Daphnia pulex: one gene and its partner. The protein of the gene in region 1 purifies or fractionates together with the protein of each later gene. This does not show direct contact. Links are inferred from orthologs where the notes say so. Each region holds a gene or a part of one and is shown on either strand. Other genes may lie near its edges.

The links. Proteins that work in one complex are often made in the same cells at the same time.
Region 2: the proteins of lethal(2) giant larvae protein homolog 1-like (region 1) and atypical protein kinase C-like purify together in Drosophila melanogaster (affinity purification with western blotting; 6 studies listed by BioGRID, with this or other methods). This does not show direct contact. The link is inferred for Daphnia pulex from reciprocal best matches to the Drosophila melanogaster genes l(2)gl and aPKC.

Annotation. Positions count from the first base shown.
Region 1 is NC_060023.1:5,191,663-5,202,027, reverse strand, and holds lethal(2) giant larvae protein homolog 1-like, read right to left. Parts: upstream 6,575-10,365; 5' UTR 6,167-6,574; intron 6,100-6,166; 5' UTR 6,086-6,099; coding exon 6,002-6,085; intron 5,941-6,001; coding exon 5,843-5,940; intron 5,732-5,842; coding exon 5,650-5,731; intron 5,588-5,649; coding exon 5,481-5,587; intron 5,407-5,480; coding exon 5,263-5,406; intron 5,202-5,262; coding exon 5,039-5,201; intron 4,973-5,038; coding exon 4,761-4,972; intron 4,554-4,760; coding exon 4,097-4,553; intron 4,026-4,096; coding exon 3,870-4,025; exon of another isoform or gene 3,713-3,869; intron 3,631-3,712; exon of another isoform or gene 3,589-3,630; coding exon 3,436-3,588; intron 3,369-3,435; coding exon 3,150-3,368; intron 3,088-3,149; coding exon 2,658-3,087; intron 2,546-2,657; coding exon 2,343-2,545; intron 2,275-2,342; coding exon 2,048-2,274; intron 1,980-2,047; coding exon 1,593-1,979; intron 1,513-1,592; coding exon 1,397-1,512; intron 1,264-1,396; coding exon 1,115-1,263; intron 973-1,114; and 3 more. UniProt on the Drosophila melanogaster protein: Essential for the development of polarized epithelia, for cell polarity associated with asymmetric cell division of neuroblasts during development, and for oocyte polarity formation.
Region 2 is NC_060022.1:4,022,294-4,032,658, reverse strand, and holds atypical protein kinase C-like, read right to left. Parts: upstream 4,677-10,365; 5' UTR 4,429-4,676; coding exon 4,358-4,428; intron 4,297-4,357; coding exon 4,175-4,296; intron 4,117-4,174; coding exon 4,027-4,116; intron 3,967-4,026; coding exon 3,830-3,966; intron 3,768-3,829; coding exon 3,395-3,767; intron 3,335-3,394; coding exon 3,162-3,334; intron 3,097-3,161; coding exon 2,681-3,096; intron 2,593-2,680; coding exon 2,474-2,592; intron 2,289-2,473; coding exon 2,119-2,288; intron 2,041-2,118; coding exon 1,925-2,040; intron 1,856-1,924; coding exon 1,768-1,855; 3' UTR 1,291-1,767; downstream 1-1,290. Other genes in the region: F-actin-capping protein subunit beta-like, read left to right, coding at 5,025-5,027, 5,150-5,361, 5,425-5,797, 5,871-6,110; eukaryotic translation initiation factor 5A, read right to left, coding at 6,688-6,759, 6,843-6,977, 7,038-7,205, 7,270-7,377; calpain small subunit 1-like, read left to right, coding at 8,730-8,865, 8,929-9,109, 9,428-9,488, 9,604-9,753, 9,818-9,945, 10,057-10,180. UniProt on the Drosophila melanogaster protein: Serine/threonine protein kinase which is required for apico-basal cell polarity in the germ line as well as in epithelial and neural precursor cells, for epithelial planar cell polarity and for cell proliferation.

The DNA.
Region 1 (10,365 bases):
AGTAAAGTGGGTTAGAAGAAATCCGTTAACGGATCAGCCTTTGGACACGGATCTTTGATAGGCCTGTATTTTTCAGATTTTTAGGTCCCATAGCGGAATGGCCCAAATGGGAAAAAACGGGGGGGGGGGGAGTCCATGAATTCGGTGCGCTTGAGTGGTGGATTTCTTGAAAAAATCGCTGCGCGACGCGGGAACGAAGCGCGGACGAAATGGTCGCGTACTCTATTACCTATTTGCGCTTGGATTAACTCTACTCGGCCCCTTTTCTTTCGCTGTCTTACTTACTACTTACTTTTTACTGTCTTTTATTTCAGAAGTATTATTGACATGGACCGGACAAAGAAATAAAATGAATCGATCTCAAAAGGTTTCCCATAGCAGGATTGTATTAGTAAACCAGATTCCATACCGAATTCTCATATACAAAAATGGCGGTTGAGAAAACTCGTAAAATTCATGAAAAGGCAAAACTGATTAAAGGCAGTCGACTCACCAGTCAAACAATTCCACAATTTGTAAATTGGAGAAGATTTTAGTTCCTTATTAGCGTTTAATTTGAGTACATAGAATAATTAGAAAATAAATTCCTTTACAGTACGGAGAAACCCTTTAAAGAAATAGCCCAGCGCGACTACAATGCTCAGTTGTAGCATTAATCTTTGCTTCATTTAGGAATATTCGAATTGATTTCAGTATGTGGAATGCTTTGAGGAAATTATTTTCTCTACCATAATATTACTAAAATAAGACAATTGTGATACTGGAATGCAGTAAAAACCGACACCATTAGTTATTGACAATAATTAGCTGCCTTTTTGCTATGAAATTAGCTTGATTAACAATTATCAGCCAACATAAAAATTTGGTGTTTCTACCAAATTAAATGATTTCTTTGAAATTTTATAAGCTGCTAATTCACCATCGTTATTTTGAAGTTTCCACATTTTCTTCAGTCGACAATTCAGTAGGGTCCTAGAACAGTAATAAAATGTGCCAATAATTAAAATACAATCAGCAATAAAACATTTCAAAATATAATAAATATTTCAAATTGATGTTAGAATCTAAAAAAAACTTAAGTTGTAGACTAGTGGTGAATATAGTAAATGTTTACCTTGGTAACAGTCACATCCAAATTTCCATGCAAATCACTCACAGTACATTCTTGCGAAACCACACGATTCTTCTCCATATCAGACTCTAAGTGCACATTAACCTTAGTCTCGTGATGAGTAATGGAATATGATTCATCTATTGAGATTACTAAAATAGATGAAATATTGATTAATAGAATTCTTTTTTGTTTATATTATCCGAGTTAAATTCGTTAGTGTTCAAAGTCAGCACTAGTTAATGTAAGGTTCAATAAAATCAAATGAGACAACTTCTTGATTACCGTTAGAGATTTTTGAAGTTTCGTGTAAACTTAAAACAGAGGATATTTCTGTTTTTACTTGTTCAATGCGAGTTTCCGATGCAACTTCTGTGATTCTACATTCGTCCAAACTAAGGCTTCAATAGTCAAAAGATTTCATGCAAATAAAAAATGTTAAGAAATGTTTTTCTTTCTATGAATATAAATGGAAACCTACACTATATGATCTTTGACAGAGTCCACCGTCATATCTCCAAAGCTGGTTTCCGGCTCAACACTTACGATTGTTGAATTGTTAATTTCATTATTGCAGATATTCTTATCGTTTTCTCGGTCTTCATTTGGATTACTCGTGTTTGAAATGACAGAAACGTCAGAGAATTCAGTTTCCATTACTACTTCTGGCTTTTCTTCTTTTGACGTACAAATCTTGATCACCGCCTGAGAGGAGGATTCCACGGGAGCCTGGGTATTTTTCATCCCATTCACTTTACATTTTAACTGGAGGGAATTACGAGCACTCAACGCAACACGTTGTAATTCACTGGAAGACAACATGTAAAATGCTTCTCCTTGATTTGTAAGGACAACAGTACTGGTAGCACTATAAATGATCCGAAATTGCTGATGAAATTTAAGAAAACATTAATTAAGAAAAAACCTTTATCTTACTGTATATCTTCCTTTCGTATAGCCTGTGCATTCATTTGTCGCCGCAGTTCCGGGAGACTTAAAATGTGAAAATCTCCTTGATTGGACAGACACACCAAACAGTTCTCTTTATAGGACGGATCCGATCGAGCAGTAAAGGGAACAACCGCAACGCGCCTAACTTTGCAACCAGTGTAAGCAGTTAATTTGTACTTTCCATACGGGCGCAGGTTTGGAAGTGTGAAAACCTAGAAGCAACAAAAATAATGCCATTCATTACATATGGCAATTAATTCCTCGCATACTCATCACCCACTTTGAACTGTTCTTCCGACGAAATCACTACGCGATGCGGAGGACAGGATTCAGAAGTCGATTTAATCCCAGAGTTTTCAAACGATTCCCCAATAGCTGCATAAGAAGCATCAATTATGTTAATCGATACAACAGGTGCTCGATGTTTCAATTGAATCTCTTTTGCAAGTTGTGCGTTCACGGGCTCCACGTGTCGTCTATTTCCTGAAATATTTAAAGCAAATAAATATTAGACAGAAGGAAATGAGTGCATAGTTAGACACAAATAAAGAAAAAAGGCCACAGCAATAATATAAAAATTAAAATGTCAACATACCCGTCTGTATGTTAAGGCTAAAAACATATATAGCTCCGCTATTTGTTCCGGCCCAAAGAGTTGCGGTAGCATTGGAAGACTGACTGATTACGTAAGTTTTGACAAGCAGTAAACAACGAACCATGCTGCCCATACCGTCATCTAACATAACATTTCTAGCTTCAATCTGCCTCTCAACAGGCCGCACTTCAGCAGCTATAGATGGCCCAGCATTGTTTATAGCGTTACTATCTTCGACCTTTGATATCGGTGAAGTTGGTGCACATTTAGGGCCAGCGGAAGGACGCTGGCTACGCCCTTTACGCAGCCGCCTGAAGGATTCTCTGAGGGATTTTTTAAAAGATTTTCGTCGTGACATTGGCTGCTCTCCAGTTCCTGACACATCATTCGGATTAAGGGTGCATTTTGCAACTACCTCCTTTTTAACGGTCTAAATTTTTTTGTAAAGATTAAAATGGATTGCGAACGATGACCATTTCATTCAATACTTACTATATCATAAAGTGTTAGTCCATGAGCTGTTCCTACAGCCAATACTGACCACTCTGCATTTAACGCTAATGCCGTGGCTGCAGCGGGAGGATGAAGCTGTAGGACAGAAGTTGGCTGGAAGCCTGGTTTAAAGGACAGTAAACCTTTCCTTACTACTAACTTATCGTGGCCTTTCCACACAAAATTATCCCGATCTGAAACTATGTTAACGAGTACAATCTACGTCAAGAAGAAAAAAATATATAGAATATTGAATTTAAAGTAAAGTTTTGCAAAATATAAGTACCGGGACTTCTTTTTCCGATTGCATTTCGAATAATTCGGCAACGACAACTTGACCAGCCGTCCCAGCAACTGTTAACAATCCAGTGACAGGGCACAGGCACAATTTCTTAACAGCCAAACGTGGGTCATCTGAGTAAGGATCGAATACTCCAATCTGAACTCGCATAATATAAAATTTCAATTAAAAAATAAGAAGGTAAGGAATAATTGACACTTCTGTTAAATACTATCACTTGGCACCACCAACTAAATACTAAAAAATGTCTATCATAATGAAGGACTCTATACAAGAAAAACAGATAAAAATGGAAAAGGATATAATCCAGTCTTGGGCAAAGCAAAATGTATAAAAAATAATAAACTCCATTGGAACAACATGACTTAACTTAAAAATACAAAATGGAAGAACTTTAAGACGTAGTCCAATAACATTACCTTACGAAACGGCGGCCATTCATCCTCATCAATTTCTCTTTCATCACTTTCCGCTGTGCAGTCTAAATCGTCACTCGAGAAACATGAAGACGTTGAAAATTTCGATATTTGAAACAGGGAGGCAGTGCTTGCATCCCAAAACCGAACAGATCCATCCTAAAAGAAATCCGTTAAGTTTTATTTTATTTTTTCTAAAAAGTTCACATCTATTGTCATTTTCTACATACCTCGTGCCCGGTGAGAAGTAATATACGATGAGAAGGTTGATCAACTTGTTCGCTGAAGGATATTCCTCCGTTAATAGGCCATGGGCGGGTACTCACTTTCGATGATGGTGTCATTCCTTGTGGATTTGCTTTGATTTTATCATACAATTCAGATGTTACTGTAACTACAGTTTGAGCTGTAACAGCACTGCAGTGAAGTGAAGCTAAATAAGGCAGGGAAAATGTAGGCCAGCCCGTGCTAATCAAATCGATCACAATTAACTCTTCTTCAGCTAGCACTACAAGAGCTTCTGCCTGGCCGGTAGTAACATCACTGATTAAACAGAAATCTATCACTTTCGAAGTGAAATCGTAAGTAGCGTGAGTATTTTCCCCTTTTACGACAGAAAGAGTATAGCGGTCGCCATAGGCAAGTCTCGGCATTCCACCACCAAACACAAAGATTCCGCACTCCTCCCTGAAAAAAATAAAGTTTGAATTTATTGACAAAAAGTTGGTAGTACTGCATTTAAATTTTGCTGTCAAGAAATATTGTGAAGATATGTGATAAAATGAATTAAAAACTACTGCTGAGTAAACTACCACAAATAAATTGTATCCAAGTACGGCAGTTGATAACTTATTCAACAACTACTCAACAAGTCTCAATAACTATTGAACTTACACATCAGTGTTACTCCAAAGAATTTTTGTGATGGCTTTGCATGGATCAGGACCATAGTGTGATATAGTATTTGGCTCTTTCTTTACAAACATATCTGTTTCTTCTTGTCCAAGAGTCCATACCATGTAAGACCCATCATTATGAGCAGAAACAAACTTCTTCCCATTGGGGTGCCAACTCACACTTTCCAATTGTTGAGAAGCAACAAAAGTCTGCAAATGTAAATAATTTTTCAAATAAAATGATGGCATTTTAGATAAAACTGATAAAATACATACTTGAACAGCAGACAGTGTTTTACAATTCCATAGCACAAGCAATCCACGTGTATAACCAATAAGAATGTGATCTGCACTGTTTGGCTGTTCACTAACACACTCAACAGCTCCTGGGTTCACTTTGAAATCTTCTGTAACACTGTTAAAATACGAAACCAAAAATCTTTTTGTACAATTCGTACAAGGCAGATGGTGAAATGCAAAAATAATATGTAAGTACTTACTTCTGCATTACAACGTCAAGATAAATAACAGAATCAGTCATTTCAAGCTTCAGCAAATCCATGATGTAGATATTTCCATTCTCTGTACCTATTAACAAATGTTCTCCACTTGATTCAATACAACACGCTGATATCTTTTTTAACCTGCAAAATATAAATGATAAATTATGAATTATAAAACCTTTATAAGTAGGCCTACATTAAAAAATAAATCTTACTTTCCCTCCAAAGATTGTGAATGAACACATTTTAAAGCAGGGCTACCGTCTGTAGATATATCCCAAAGTTGTAGGGAATTGTCTTCACACACTACAATGACACGCCCCTGTTAAAAAAATAAATAAATCAGAGATGAATAATAGCAATAGTTTTTATGCGTAAACATACATGCCCAGGGACAAAATGTAAGCTGCAGATAATTTTATCTTTTGGTAGCTGTCCATAAAACTCCACTCCAGGAGCTCCAAAACTGAAAGTTCAAGTAGGGGTGTGGTACAAAAAAAATTGAAAAAAAAGCATTTAATAAATACAATAATAAAAAAATATGTGTGAACAATTGTGAATGAAAAATGAAACTTACATTTTTAAGGCACCTGTTCGCGTCCCCAAACATAGAAGCCGTAACACAGGATCCCATGCCAATGAAGTGGGTTTACTCGGAAAACCATGTTGTGCTGTCTGTTATCAAATATTGGATGATGCAATGGCAATTAATATTCATAATCATGATAGTAAATACTTTTTGGAACTGAAAAAGCTCTTTCTGTATTTTCAATCTTTCAGCAGACTGATGTGCACCTTTCCCCCAGAAGAACTTGAACATTTTTAGCCGCCAAGCTGTAACAGACAAAAATCACAACACAAACTTTAACAAGCAAATACAAAATAAATAATTTCTGCTAACCTGTGCCCACTTAACTCTAGACAATCACAAATACCAACTTATAATATAATAAATCGAAGGAGTTGGAAATATGTAGAGGAATTGCTGTGGATGGTGTACTTGTTGAATTGGATTATATGATCACTGTAAATCTAATAACTGAATAATAACTGACAGCTCGGGAAGTCGGCCGGGGTGTTTCAGATGAGACGCAGATGGCGTCCTACATAGTCTCTTTAGTTCTTGTACTTAAAACTAGATGGCGAGTAGTACAATACAGGTGCACCCAGAAGTTGGCATGATGTTATCCCTGAGGCTAAGGCTTTAGCCTGCCGAGGGCCTCCTAAAAGGGTTCCCGTAGAGCTCAAAAGTCCCAATGGAAGGAAATGGGAAAAGGCGGAGCTTAGTAGAGAGAAAAACTACCCCCACGTGACCGAAATCGGGCCACGCTATTGGCTCCCGTCTCGATTCACCGATCGATATAAAATCGGAAATTCAGTGAAGCCTATACTCCCTGCCACGCGAAAAATGGTTAGGACAAATTTGACTCGTTTGGAAATGCCATCCAAATTCTGGAGTGCTTCTCTCCCGTGAACGATACGCTGTCTTTCAGAGTGCACATAATTCAAATCAAAATCTGTATACACATAAAAATTGTAAATTCATTAAGACTACTGACTGGAAGACAAATCAAGATAATGTTTTCAGAGCTGATGCCACTGACACTGATTTCATTTGAAAATGATTCTTGTTGATTTTTATATGCACTCGGTATCTTGTATTGTTCTTGATACGCCACTATCGTCAAGCGTGATAAGTTATCTGTCTTAGGCACATATTTATCACTAAAGCACAACGGACATTCTAGTTTCAATGCTACTTCAAACTCTTTTATGTAGTTTCTTACAGAAGTTATTGTTTGTAGGGGAGAGCGGGGCAGGAGCGGGGTTATAGTCTGGGAGCTGGGTGACCAAAAAATGTTTTTTCTTTAGCAAAAGGTTTGAAGCTAAAATATGGTTAGGGGGGGGGGGGGGGGGTATGACGCACACGAAAAGCAAAGTTTGTCGACTGGCGGCCGGGGCGTTCAAGCGTGACGCGATCCCGAAGTCGGCGGGAACCGTAAAAAAATACAATTTGTTTAGAAAATCTGAACTATATCTTAAAAAATAGAGGGATATCAACTTTATTTAATTTCCGACAGACAGACGTCATAATCTGGGGCCTTGGGGCCATCAGACGTCGGTGTGTAAGAAATTTTAGGAAATTTCAGTAAATTGTGAAAATGGCAACGCTGCATCCTAAGCGCCTAATTTTAAATAGAGAGATTTGGGGAGGATCTGTGAGTTTTTAACTAAGTAAATGTGAACAGAAAATGCATTTTTCGGTTTTTTAAATAAGATTATGCATTAATTTGGTTGAACCGATCACTTTTTGATTATTTGGTTTGTGTTATTGGCAGTTATAATTTCTTCCCTATATATTCCCAGCTTTTTTTCTGCTCCTCTTTCGTGAGCGCATATCGAACGTCACGGTAAACCCTTGACTAACAGACATTATGCTTTTCTCCCCTTCTCCGTGGTTATGTTGACCATCCGCCGGCCTTGGCCGTTACCGCAATCGTCCACCTTGTAGGCGTCATTCGGTCATCCGCGTAACCATATTTTAGCTTCAAACCTTTTGCTAAAGAAAAAACATTTTTTGGTCACCCAGCTCCCAGACTATTATGATGGACGGATCCAGCATTGGACAAATGATACTGTGACTAAACTAGCTATCTAGAAATTAATTTAATTTTAAAAAATTAATCCCTGAGGGATTTAGTTCACTAAATAACCGAAGGTTTAGAGGTCTTTATAGCAGCATAGGCTCCTCCTCCATCGGTCGACCTGAAAGGCTTTATTGGGATTTTTTTTCAACCAATTGGAATCGTGGAAAATGAAAATGGTCATTAATTACGAAATAATCATTTTTCCAAGGTAAAACTGGTAGATTTACATTATGGCAAATGTTTTAGATGTTTTGTAGTTAATATGTTTCATTCAAAAAAAGGAAAGTGAATGTAGCGTAGCTATAGCATATGCCCCCAATAGATATATCATGTATCCCGTAGTAATCCGATATACCACGCGCTGCTATATAACGCGCTGCCCCTTGTAGTAAACATCAGTTCAGTTCTATTCACTGTAGTCACGAATACACATGTGAGAATATTACAGATAGGTACGATTTGTTTAAAACTCTGAAATAAATACAGCGTATTTTAAATGAGGTTTTATTTATCCTCTTTCTTTTTCTTCCTGAATTTCTGATTAATTTTGCGAGTTTTATGGGAAAAACCAAAAAATGGGAATCGGAAAAAAAAATTTATGTTTAGTTTTCAATTTTTTTATACTTCTATAAAACCCAGATAGCTATTTCCCGAGCAGAATTTTTCCTATGAATTTTGTAGAAAAAATGCATTTTTCGAATGGATTTACTGTTTGAAATCAATTTTGAAAATGTAAAAGAGACACGTGCATTCTGCACTTGTTTACACTATTTTACAATAAAGTAACTATATAAATGTTCATTAAAAATGCGTTCGAAGATCCCATCAAAATCAGCAATTAATCTGTAAGGGAATACCGGCTACATGCATATTTATGACGCTTATGGCGATGTTTAAAGAGTATAATGATAACAGAAAAGACAAAGAGATGTTTTACTCCGGGATTCTCAAATGTATTGTCCTATTGCTTAAACTGAAACGTCATAAAATTCTTAAATGAGCAATGAAATGAGCAATTAAACACGGGATGTACTTGAGGAATCAATAACTGCTTAACACAGATGACCTGTAGACAAAAAAATTTTATTGAGCATATAGCGAGCGATAAATCAATAATTTTTGTGGTGTAGGTACAACGTACTTGTACATAAACCGCTAATTTAGTTCAAAATTCAGGATGGCGTTGTACAGTTCTGCCATTCTGCTGTCTACAGCGAGTTGGGTTTTACGATCGGCTCTGTGCCCTTCTACCTCGTCTGGGACTTCGATTTGATTCAATTCTTTGTTTTTTAACTCGAACGACGAAGATGCGACGAGCGCTTTGGATGGTTCCTATTAGCTCTTTGAAGTCCACTTTAGGTGCCTTATTGTTGATTTCCCGTATGATGTTAATAATAACTAATAAAAAATATATTATCAATAACAAGTTATGTGAGGACTTGAGGGAAAAACTAACCTCCCATAACTGCAATCAGATTGGTCAGATGACCGAATCCTGGACGCCTGTCGTTTCCTCTTTTTTTCCATTGAATCTTTGATCACAATGAATTGGTGAAGAGTTTGCTCATCAACATCTTCGATATTTGATCGCGAGATGACATGGTTTTCAAGATTTTTGAAAAAAAGGCACACTATATTTTAAACAAATTGCATGGTAAGGTTAGAGTAAACATATAGGTGCTTTTATAAAATACAGCCAATCTTACCATTGCAATCGATAGATCGTTGTTGGCTAAAGCCGAATCGAGATCTTCAATTTGGTTGTAGTGTTGAAGGGGCAGCTTCACATTAGATGTCACAAATTTTTCATAGTGGTGGAAGTGCTCCAATATAACGTCCCCAACAGTCAAATCGGCACTCTGCTGCCCGCTATTTCGTCGACCGCTACTTTTAAGTCGACTTGAAAAGGAGTTATCTGTAAATGAACAATATAATGATGAATCATGACCAGCGCTTTAATATAATGAAATATGACACGGTTACAACCTGGTCACGAAGGATAAAGAGATGTTTGATGTGGAATAAATGGGCGTCTAGGCTTGTTTTGTGTGTCATAATGTGTCACGCAGCATTTGCCAGTGAACATAAGCTGCCACTAGAACTTCCTTTGAATTCCTTTTAGCATGCACAGAGAGTTAGAGTAAATCCAAAACTTTCTCGACATCTTAAATTTTCAACTTTACCTGGGAAAGTTCTTGGTATGTCGAACGATCAACAGAACTTTAAAGTTTGGCACAACAAGGCTCTTCTCAAAAGGGTTTTACCACATTTCGTGCTAATAGGCCAGTGAATCTGAAAAGAACAAAAAAAGGAAATCATAATGAGAATCTATCTGTAAAAGTTGCAGTACTACTAAGTTATGCACCAATGAATATTTTGGATCAAGAACCTCCGATAGTTCACTAAAGACCGGCTTCTGGAGGGAAAGTATTGTGCCAAAAAAAATCGGCAA
Region 2 (10,365 bases), on another chromosome or scaffold:
CACTTTGTTTTACGTAACAGCAGCCATAGACCAGATATTAGACAGGAAGGCAAAGTACACCGGCGGACACTGTTGCCTAGCAAAGGGCAAACACGCTCGCCCAAAATTGTGTTTTTCAATTATTCTGGTTCAAGGACGTTTGTCGATCGATTGGAGAATTCCTCGCGTTCGGGAGAAAAGAAAAAAACATGGCGCCGATTGGATTTTCAGTGTGTGTGTGTGTGTGTACCCCCTCCACGTGCTACCAAAACATGAATTTATGTGTCCTTTTTTTTCTTTTCTCTCCGACTGAATTCTTGACTAACATCGTGGAAATACGAGTCAAATAAACATGTGGCAGCCAAATGGATGCCAAGTTATCACGAAAGCGTCTGTCGTAGGTTTATACCTACATTTTTAAAATGCAGCAGCATTTTTATTATTTACAAGTACGCTTAATACGACCTTTAAGTAGCCGGAGGCCATTTTGGCACCCAAGGTCTACGTGTGTTAAGAAAAAAGAGCCCGAGACGTAACAAATGTAACGGTATAACTTTTTGGGTTGTGTCGCTCCGCCTGCAACCACAAAAATGAAAAAAAAAACGAAACTCGACTAAAACTTGATTGTGTGTGTGAAATCTTGATTACGAAAATTTGTCTAATCTAAAAGATATCCTTCTTAAACAAAACAAGGATATAAACCTGATTTTGTTTTTATTAAGGGGGGGAGAGAGAGGGGCTGATTCTTTTATAAATATTTCCATAAAAGAACCTTTTTCATCGAAATTAAAAGAATGCGCAATGGGAAAAAAAGGATAAGAAAACACCATAGGGTGAGGGACATTTTCCGCGGCCCCGAAAGAATAAAAATAGAGAGCGTAAAATGTTTTCTGGGGTTTTCTTTATTCCTTTACACACACACACAAGACGAGTTTGTGTGTGTGTATCTCTTTAAATGTATAGGGGAATCCAACCGCAAAACGGTCGATGTTCGTTTCTTTCTAGAAAAGAAATGTCCGACAACGACTTCCTCCTACACGCTTTTTTTTTCTTTCCTTTCTTCGTTCGAAAAATTTCAACCAATAAACGAGTGGTTTCGTGCGTGATAAAAACTACTTTTCTCTCATCGATATTTAGTAATAAACCCCTTTTTCCTCTGCATTACATCGTTTAGCATAAAGACAACCAACGATTGTGCTAACGGCACGTCGTACCGTAGAAATGCCTTTCCCATCGAACAACAACAGGTTTCACCAATTATAATATTAAAAGGCCACCACCATTTCTTGACTGTGGATGCCATCTAGCTGATTGTGTCGACATCTTTCTTGTATATTTCTAACAAGACGGAAAAAGGCGATCTGTGTAAGGCGGAAATATAATAATTAACCAGACAGAGATTTTCTTTTTGGCTAAAAGTGACCAAAACAAAATGGCTTTTAAAAGTGACACAAAAAGAAAAGAAGACAAAAGAGATGAAGGCAGTTGTACAACAGATCGAAAAGGTGACGGAGGGAAAGAAAGATGTTCCAATGAGGCAAGAACTGGAATGGACGCAAAGTCGATTAAGACTTGATCTATCATATTTAAAAATACTGGACCGAATAAACTGATGGTGAAAAGGGGAGGGGGAAAAAAACGAAAGAGAAGAAATGGTAGGCTGTTAGAATTTTTGCTGCCGTGAAACCTGCCAAACTTTCCCTATGAAACATGTGTGTGTGTGGTTCCAATTTTTAGTGTAAATCTTATAATGGCATGAAAGCGAATGCTTCGTTTTCTATTCTAATCCTAGACGCAGTCTTCCAATGACATGAGCAAAGGATTGACGTACTCGAAACCTTCAAACTCAGACTGATCGATGCGTTCAATGACCGTCCTGCAAAGCAACAAAAAATAAAACAAAAATAAAAATCGATTCTTAATCGACAGACGATCCATCACTTACTGATCGTCGGGTGTCAGTTGGACTGGTTCGTCTGTGAACTCGGGTGGAAAGTGAGCCAGATCACGGTCGGAATCTAGACGAGGCACGTAAGGTGGAGCCACTTGTTTCTTCTCCAACTGTGCACGTATGAAAAAAGATTAGTAATCTGTTCCTAGAATGTGGATTAAACGTGTAAAAGAGAGAGATGTTCATACCATTTCCCAGTCGACTGATTTAAAGAATGGATGATGGACGATATCGACAAAGCCCGTTTCTTTTCGACAACCCAAACGATCAGCTGGATTCTTATTAAGAAACCCTTTGAGGACAGAAGAAGCCTTCACAGATAACGACCTGGGAATGCGAATCGTCTTTTCCAGGATGACTGCAATATGAAAAGAAAAGAAAAAACACACAATGTTTTACAAACAACACATTTACAATCCTCTCAAGTGGAAAAAGGTCACGCGATCTTGATAAGACCCCGTTTTTCTTGCGAACTTTATCAAATGGACTCGCGAGTTTCCACAAAGCAAATATTATAATAAAGAAGACAAGATGAAGCTCTACCGTGAAACAGATAATCTTCAGTGTTTTGGTCAGGATTCTCTGAAGCGCCGACGATGTCGAAAGGTGAACGACCGGCCAACATTTCATACAACAATACACCCAGCGCCCACCAATCCACACTGATAAAAACGAAGAAAAAGGTTAGACATTTTCGCTACAGGGGAGTTAGCGTTCCAGATTCTATTGGGTTTAATTTGTAAACATTACCTGAAACTGTAGTCTTCTCCGCGCAGAATTTCAGGAGCGATATAGTTGGGCGTACCACAAAAGGTAGACGTGGTATCACCCGGACGGATGCCCTCTTTGCACATTCCGTAGTCGGTGAGTTTGATATGACCTTCATGGTCCAGTAGGACGTTATCTAGCTTCAGATCACGGTAAATAATTCCTTTCTCGTGTAGGAAATTGAGCGCCAAAGAAATTTCAGCCGAATAGAATCGAGCGTGCTCCTCAGGAAGTCGCCTTTGGCGCTGCATGTGGAACATTAAATCACCACCACGTACGAATTCGATGACAAAGAAAAGGCGTGACGTCGTCTGGAAACACGAATGCAAGCCAACCAAGAAAGGATGGTTGGATGCCGTCTCAAAGACATGTTTTTCCGTTTGAACCCAGTCAATATCCTGAAAGTCGAGTTGTTCAATTAGAAGAAGTTGTTGATAAAATCAAAGAATCAATTTTCTTATACCTCATCATCGGTAACAAGTTCCTTTTTGATTACTTTCATGGCGTAAACCCGACGAGTTCGTCGTAATTCAACCATCAACACTTTAGCATAAGAACCACGACCAATCACACGAATCAATTCAAAATCCGCCATCGAATACGGACGTTGAACAGCACCACCTTCGACACCTTCTTCTAATATTTTAAAGTATACAATTAAAAATCTGAATTGTTTTGTATGGAAATATAAAGTACCTGGACTTCCATCAACCGGAACACTCACACTGTGAGACTCAAAAATAGGTTGTACTATTGGCGGTGCGGACGGTGCTTCGGTACCATCACCATTCTGTCGCAGCGCTGTCGGGGGTTCTCCGGCATTAACAACAGGGCTTATAGATGGAATAGCAGCAGCGGTCACTGCGGACCCTGAACTGGTATTGAGCGCGCTATTTGACAGTAGATGAACCTGGGATGGAGTGTTCAGAGCGGCCACTTGCTCCGTGTTGCAACTGATCTTGATAAGCTTGTGGCACTTTTTGTGGATGAGCAGCTTGCACTGAATGCATTTGAATCCTTGCCGACCTAGACCCCAGATACGGTCGTGACAGTAAGCGCAAGAAGCTCTCTGTCATAAAAATGGAAAGTAAGGATTACTGGGAATCAATGGTGTTGCATGGATAAACTTACGCGATTGAAACGTTTTGCCTGGAAAAGATGTCCATTGACTCTGTACAGTTTCCGCCATCTACGAGCACCACGTCGATAAATACTTTTATCTTCTCCAAAACATGGAAGCCCTGGTGACACAGGGACACTAGGGAAAACTGAATTTTAAAAAGAGTAATTAAATTTCAAGTTTATACACAAGTAGAATTAAAAAATACCATGAATAGTGATTTCTGAATCGTTGTTCACTTCATACAGACGAATAGCTTCATCAATTTCAACTTGTGAAGAGATAGTACATGGATCACCTAAAGGGATGTAAATCATAGTAAAAGAAAACTGTGTGGATTGTATGTGTTGTACAACCTTCTTCGTCAATCCATTTCATGGTAAACTCTTGATCAGGAGAAAACTGGCAAATGGCTCGCATCTCATTTTGGAGATCATCCAACAGGATCTCAGAGTTTATGTAAGTCACGAGAATTTTCCTGCAAAATAACTAATGAGGTAAGTACATACAAAGATTGAAAAAAAAAACATGAAGTATACCCGCTGAAAGCTGCCTTGACTTTGATTTCGGCCTTTTCCCCATCACTCACGAGGGTGGTGGGCATCGTCATTTAAAACAACAGGTGGGTTGGGCACAAATTGGCCGTTTCCTCAAAATTACAAACAAGTCCTCACGGCAGCCGGACTATTGTAACCATTTGAGGCTATCACTGATTGTGAACCACGATTCCACTATAACTTCTTTAAACTTCTAACAGAAAACACTTTTAGTTTTAACCTAAAAATATGAGTCAGGCGGTTAATACTGGCAAAACTGACGTTTCGAGGATTAACCTTCTATGCAGCCGCCAGGAGGCGTTCTCCGAGATTGATCAAAACTTGATTGATTTTAAAGAAAAATCGTTTTTGTAATTGTTTTTTAAATATTCTCAGCTATTATTTAATGACCAACAACACTTCCGTCATTTAATATGTGGATTTATCTCGAATTCTAATTCGAATCCGCAACCGTTTTTTTATTTCCCAGCAGGCAGAGATTTTCATTGCTTAGCGCAACTTCGGATTCAGAACATACATTTCTGTTTGTCACCGCCACTCATTTTTCACCTCGCCCATTTTTTGGTTTTTCCTGGGAAAAAAGGCCGGAAATCCTTTTCAGTTCCATTTTATTATCTCAAAAGTTTGTCGTTTCTGTCCATTTTGAACAATGGTAAGTTAAAAATCGAATTTATTCATATTTTCGGCTAGTATTAAACCTCCAATTTCAGAGTGAAAATTTTATTTGACATTTGACTTGTCTAATAATATTTCTCTTGTTATTTGTTTCTGCAGACGGAGGAGCAATTGAACCGAGCGTTGGACTTAATGCGACGTCTCCCTCCTCAGCAAATTGAAAAAAACCTGAGTGACCTGATTGACCTAGTTCCTGAACTGTGTGAGGATCTTCTATCATCAGTGGATCAACCACTTAAAATTGCACGTGATAAGAGAGAAGGAAAAGATTATCTTCTCTGTGATTATAACCGTGATGGAGATTCTTATCGGTAACAGTATTTACAGTTGTGTTGAAAACTTGACCCTAATAATAACAAATGTTGATCTGTCAGTTCTCCATGGAGCAACACCTATGAACCACCTCTTGAAGATGGAACACTGCCCACGGACAGGCTACGTAGATTGGAAGTAGAGGCCAATGCTGCATTTGATCAATACCGTCAGATGTATTTTGAGGGTGGAGTCTCCTCTGTGTACCTATGGGACCTGGATCATGGATTTGCTGGAGTCATTCTTATAAAACGAGCTGGTGATGGCGCTCGAAATATTAAAGGGTGCTGGGATTCGATTCATGTCATTGAAGTGCAAGAAAAGTCTACCGGCCGTTCGGCTCACTATAAGCTTACGTCGACAGTCATGCTATGGCTGCAGACCAGTCGTCCCGGTTCCGGAACGATGAACCTTGGTGGAAGCTTAACGCGTCAGGTAATATTATTGTTTACTTTTATGACCATGAGATATTTCCCTTAAATTGAACCGATTTTTTCTCTCGTGTTAGATGGAGCAAGACGGAACAGTAAGCGAGCCTACGTCGCACATCGTAAACATGGGTCGTCTTGTCGAAGATATGGAGAACAAAATTAGGCACACTTTGAATGAAATTTACTTCGGTAAGACTAAGGATATTGTCAACGGGCTGCGTTCCATTCAGCCTTTGGCCGATCAAAAGCAAAAGCAGGCTTTCAGCGAAGATCTGGCTAATGCTTTGCAGAAAAGACAAGGAAAAAGCGATCCTTAACTGATACATAATATTATAAATTGCATTTTCCTATTATTTCCCTTATTCAACCAAGTTTTTCCCCTCCTGTAAAGTATAACATCCATTACCCAATCAAGTTGTTGCCCGTTTTGCTTCAATTCACATGTTGAGTGATTGGAAAATAAAAGTTTGAAGTAAAAATCGTTAAATTTAAGGCTCCATTATTTTTGAAGTGCTTGAAATTGGTTTATTGAACTCTTTCGTTTTGCTGCATGGGAAATGGGTATGAGTAAGGTTTAGGTTAAACAACTATCTTGCAATCAACTGCAGAATAGCGTAGTGTTCATTAACAAGTCTGTCTATTGACCCATTGGGTCGAACGGGGGAGGCAATAATAAACCAGAACAAGAGATGGACTTATCCAATGAAACGAGGCAACAAGGTCAAGATACCCATTTCTCCCCACGATTTACATCAATCGGTAGTAGGCAAAATTAAAAGAAAGAAAGTAGAATTTAAATCCAATATCCACAGCTGTTTCCCGTTTATTTTTTTGTGTTTCTCTCCATTTTTATTGGTAACCAGTTGGAAGTGAAACTTCACAAATTTGTGTGAATTACTTTTCGGCAGCTGTGTTGGCTTTAACGGCAATCACACACTCTTCGCCGCAGGCTTTCAAAACGGTACACTATAGAAGAAAAAACAGGTGATTATACATCCACTCTTAATATCAAATTGAACAATACATCGCATAGGGTAAAATTAGCTTACCAGAAGTTCGCGACCATTTTCGAAATCAGCCCTGATTTGGTTACCCAAGTCTCCTTCTGGAACCTTGAGATCTTCACGCAAATCTCCGTTGTCATTCATCATTGAAAGAAAGCCATCACCAGATATGTCAATGAGCTAAAACAAAAATTTTGTTAATTCCAAACTAACATAATCAAAGTTGTAATTTTATATTACAGTGAAATCCTCCCTCTTGACAACAGGGACATCCATGTTGTGGGTGGAAGGGCAAATATCTTCAAGTTTCTTGCCATTGAAAATGTCGATACCAACCATGTGAACCTTGGCGTGGCCATGTTTGCCAGTCTTGGATGTGGACATCTCAACAATCTTGCAAGGCCTTGCCTTCAAATGAAATTCACTTTAAGTACAATGAAGATTAAAATAATTTCTATTATTATATAATCACCTTCAACATGACGAAACCGTTCTTGCGAAGAGCAGAGCATTGCATGGGAAATGTTGCTGAAGCTCCAGAATCCCCTGACTCGAACTGAGTGTCTTCAAGCTCTGCCATGTTGTACAAGTTCAGGGGAATGGATATATAGAATCACTGTGACAAAAAGAAAGTGATTAGAAACATTCACATCAATGGGGTAGCGATTTCAGTACTATCTTCTATATTGATCACTGCCGCAGCAGCTGACTACTATAGTTATTACAACGGCGTTAAGTTTAATTTGACAACAGTACTAAATACCCAAAGAAATATAACTGAAAAAAAGGAATAAGGATATGGAATCCAATTACATGAGAACACTACTGTAGGCTAATGAATATGCAACAATAATATGTGGAAAAGGCCGGTTAAAATCCCAACATGGCGCCCAAAGTAACCTCATGTGCCATGTGTCATTCCTACTTCGACCACCAGCGTTTACCAAGCCCAAAAAACACAACTATCAGAAATACAAACGTCAACAACACGATTAAAGTGAACACAAATTTGTAACGGAGACTTTGGCTATTAAACTAACTACAATTACCGATATCAATATGCGAAATAAGACTAAGGAAAAAGGTAGAATATCAATTCAATACTTACGTTCTGCCACGAGCGGCACGGGAAAGACAATTCGGAGTCTATTGCCTGGCACCAGCTAGATAGATGGCGCCGTGGTGGAACAGCGCCACCGCTAGCCCCCTAGGCAACAACAACGTAGACAAATGAAGAACGCTAGCCGTCGATTTTTGGCGGCATGGCTGAACAACGCATTTAGCCCTGGAGGGAAATGTTTTCTCGAGCTCATCGCCACCATCATGGAAATCAAAACCATTGAAAAAGTTAAAAGTTAAAAAAAAAAATACAGATTTCTATTGTATCATAAAAATAATTTTAAATCGTTGTTAAGAAACCAACGCCATTAAAAGCTTGGCAACACGATTGTATTGGCGGCAAACGATCACAATTTTAATTCTGTTGTGTTCTGCTGGTATTCGTTTGATTTTTAAAATTCGTGTTCTTAGTTGCCTAACTCTCTTTTATTTTCTCTAGACATTACGACAACCTGAGTCGCCCCGTTATATTTCCTTTCTTGTGTTTTTTTCATTCTTAAATGTCAACACCGTGACGTCCATTTTTGTTCAACGTTGATGCGGCAATGTGTTGTTCGGTCAACGTTCGCTACTCTCGCCCGTTAAACTCGCATTCAAGAGATTTAAAATACAGAATAAGGATCGAAACAATGATGAGACGTGACGATCAAAATAATTCAAATGAATTCAAACAAAGAAATTTTTATTTTTCAGTCCTTTCACCTTAACGGAAATATTTTTACCTGGGCATTATGAGAAACCCTATAAATAGTAGAGGGATGATGGTCCCTCGACGTGATATCAATTCGGATCGAGGACAAGTCAAGTAACAAGATGCAGTTGTGGTTATCTCCTCTGCTCATCGTCGTCATCGTGAGTGGAGATTCGGGAACGTACGACCCTGACGAAGCCTGGCGTCAAATGGTCGGACTAACCGATCATTCGGCTACATTTTCAGCTATCACGTCGTGTAAGTATTGAATTACATTTTAAATTAAATAATTGATATAATCAATTTGATTGGACTATGCAGACGATGAAACGAGTTCTCAATCATCGAGATCCACCGACTTGAAACCGGCCGCTTCTTCTTACGGAAGTGGAGGCTATGGGGGCGGGGGCTACGGCGGAGGAAACTACGGCGGAGGAGGCTATGGCCACGGAAGTGGAGGAGCAAGTTACGGTGGACACGGGGGAGGAGGTTACGGACACGGGTATGTAATTTAATATTTTTGTTTACTATCAAGAAATCGATACTTTGATCCGACCGAGTCAAGTGCCAGTTTTGTTTTCAAAATGAAATTGACGTATCATAAAAATTAGGTTAAACACTTCGGCCGTTTCTCTGTTGGGATTCCTTTACCTACTCAATTTGATCCAGGTAAAAACCAATAAAGGCAGGTCTGAGGTCATCACACAAGTGATTGCATTAGTTTATCACTAGCCACGCCCTGAAATCTTCTTCTTCTTTGCTTAACAAACTGAAAATACCAATTAGATATCAATGGCTCCTTTTCTCTTGATTCTAATAGGTCAAATGGCAGCAATGCGGTAGCTTTACTGGGACTTTTGCTTCTGATCAATCTCTTGCGGGTCGGTATCAATTTCCACCTATTAATCCTTTCATCCTTGTTTGCACGGGAATGATTCTGTGATTCGCGGTTTCACAAATACTTGAATCATCTAACCTTCCGATTCAATTTTTTAGGACATTCTGAATCAAATAACGACGACGGCTGCCAGTGGCCGGAAGAAGAAATCTATTCAAGATCCATTTCGGGAATGGTTTTCCAATCTCGGCCAAGGAGGAATTCAAACATTGAATTATGAAATCGTCGCCACCGTTCTCCCGCTTCTAGTAATTTGAATCTAATTATTTGTCTTTGGATTGAGAATCAATGACAAAATCTTTTAAAAAATAGAGCGAGTTCACCGAACATGGTGATAACAAACGGCCTCTGGTCTGCGCTCAAAGGTCCATCTGTTTAGCCAATCGACGTTTGACATCGAACTACGGCCAAATGGGGAAAGTCTTTGGCAAACTAAGCAGGTAAAAACTTTTGTTTTCAATTTCTTCTGAAGGCAACCGAGAAAAAAAAAGAACTAGTTTTTAAAAACAAAAAAACAATCTTGTTGACATTGTTACTTTTCAAATGTATAGCGAAGCCGTTCTGGAACACTTCCAATCATCATCCTATCCGGAAGGAACCTTCACTGAGGCTGCTGCTCACGGCCGAAATTTAGCCGACTGCCACAAAATCTACAGTCAATGCCAAGTGGATTGAGGACAAAAGGGATCAATGAAAGAGGAGATTCTTATTTTTCTTTTCTTTTTAATTTCTTTAGATTCAATCGATTCTTTTTTTTTGTTTTGTTTCATTTTTCTTTGTTTTATCTTTCCGGATTTCGTCATTTTTTTTTTTTTTTGTTTTCCTCCAGACTCATGACACACGCACACAGCACACGGATA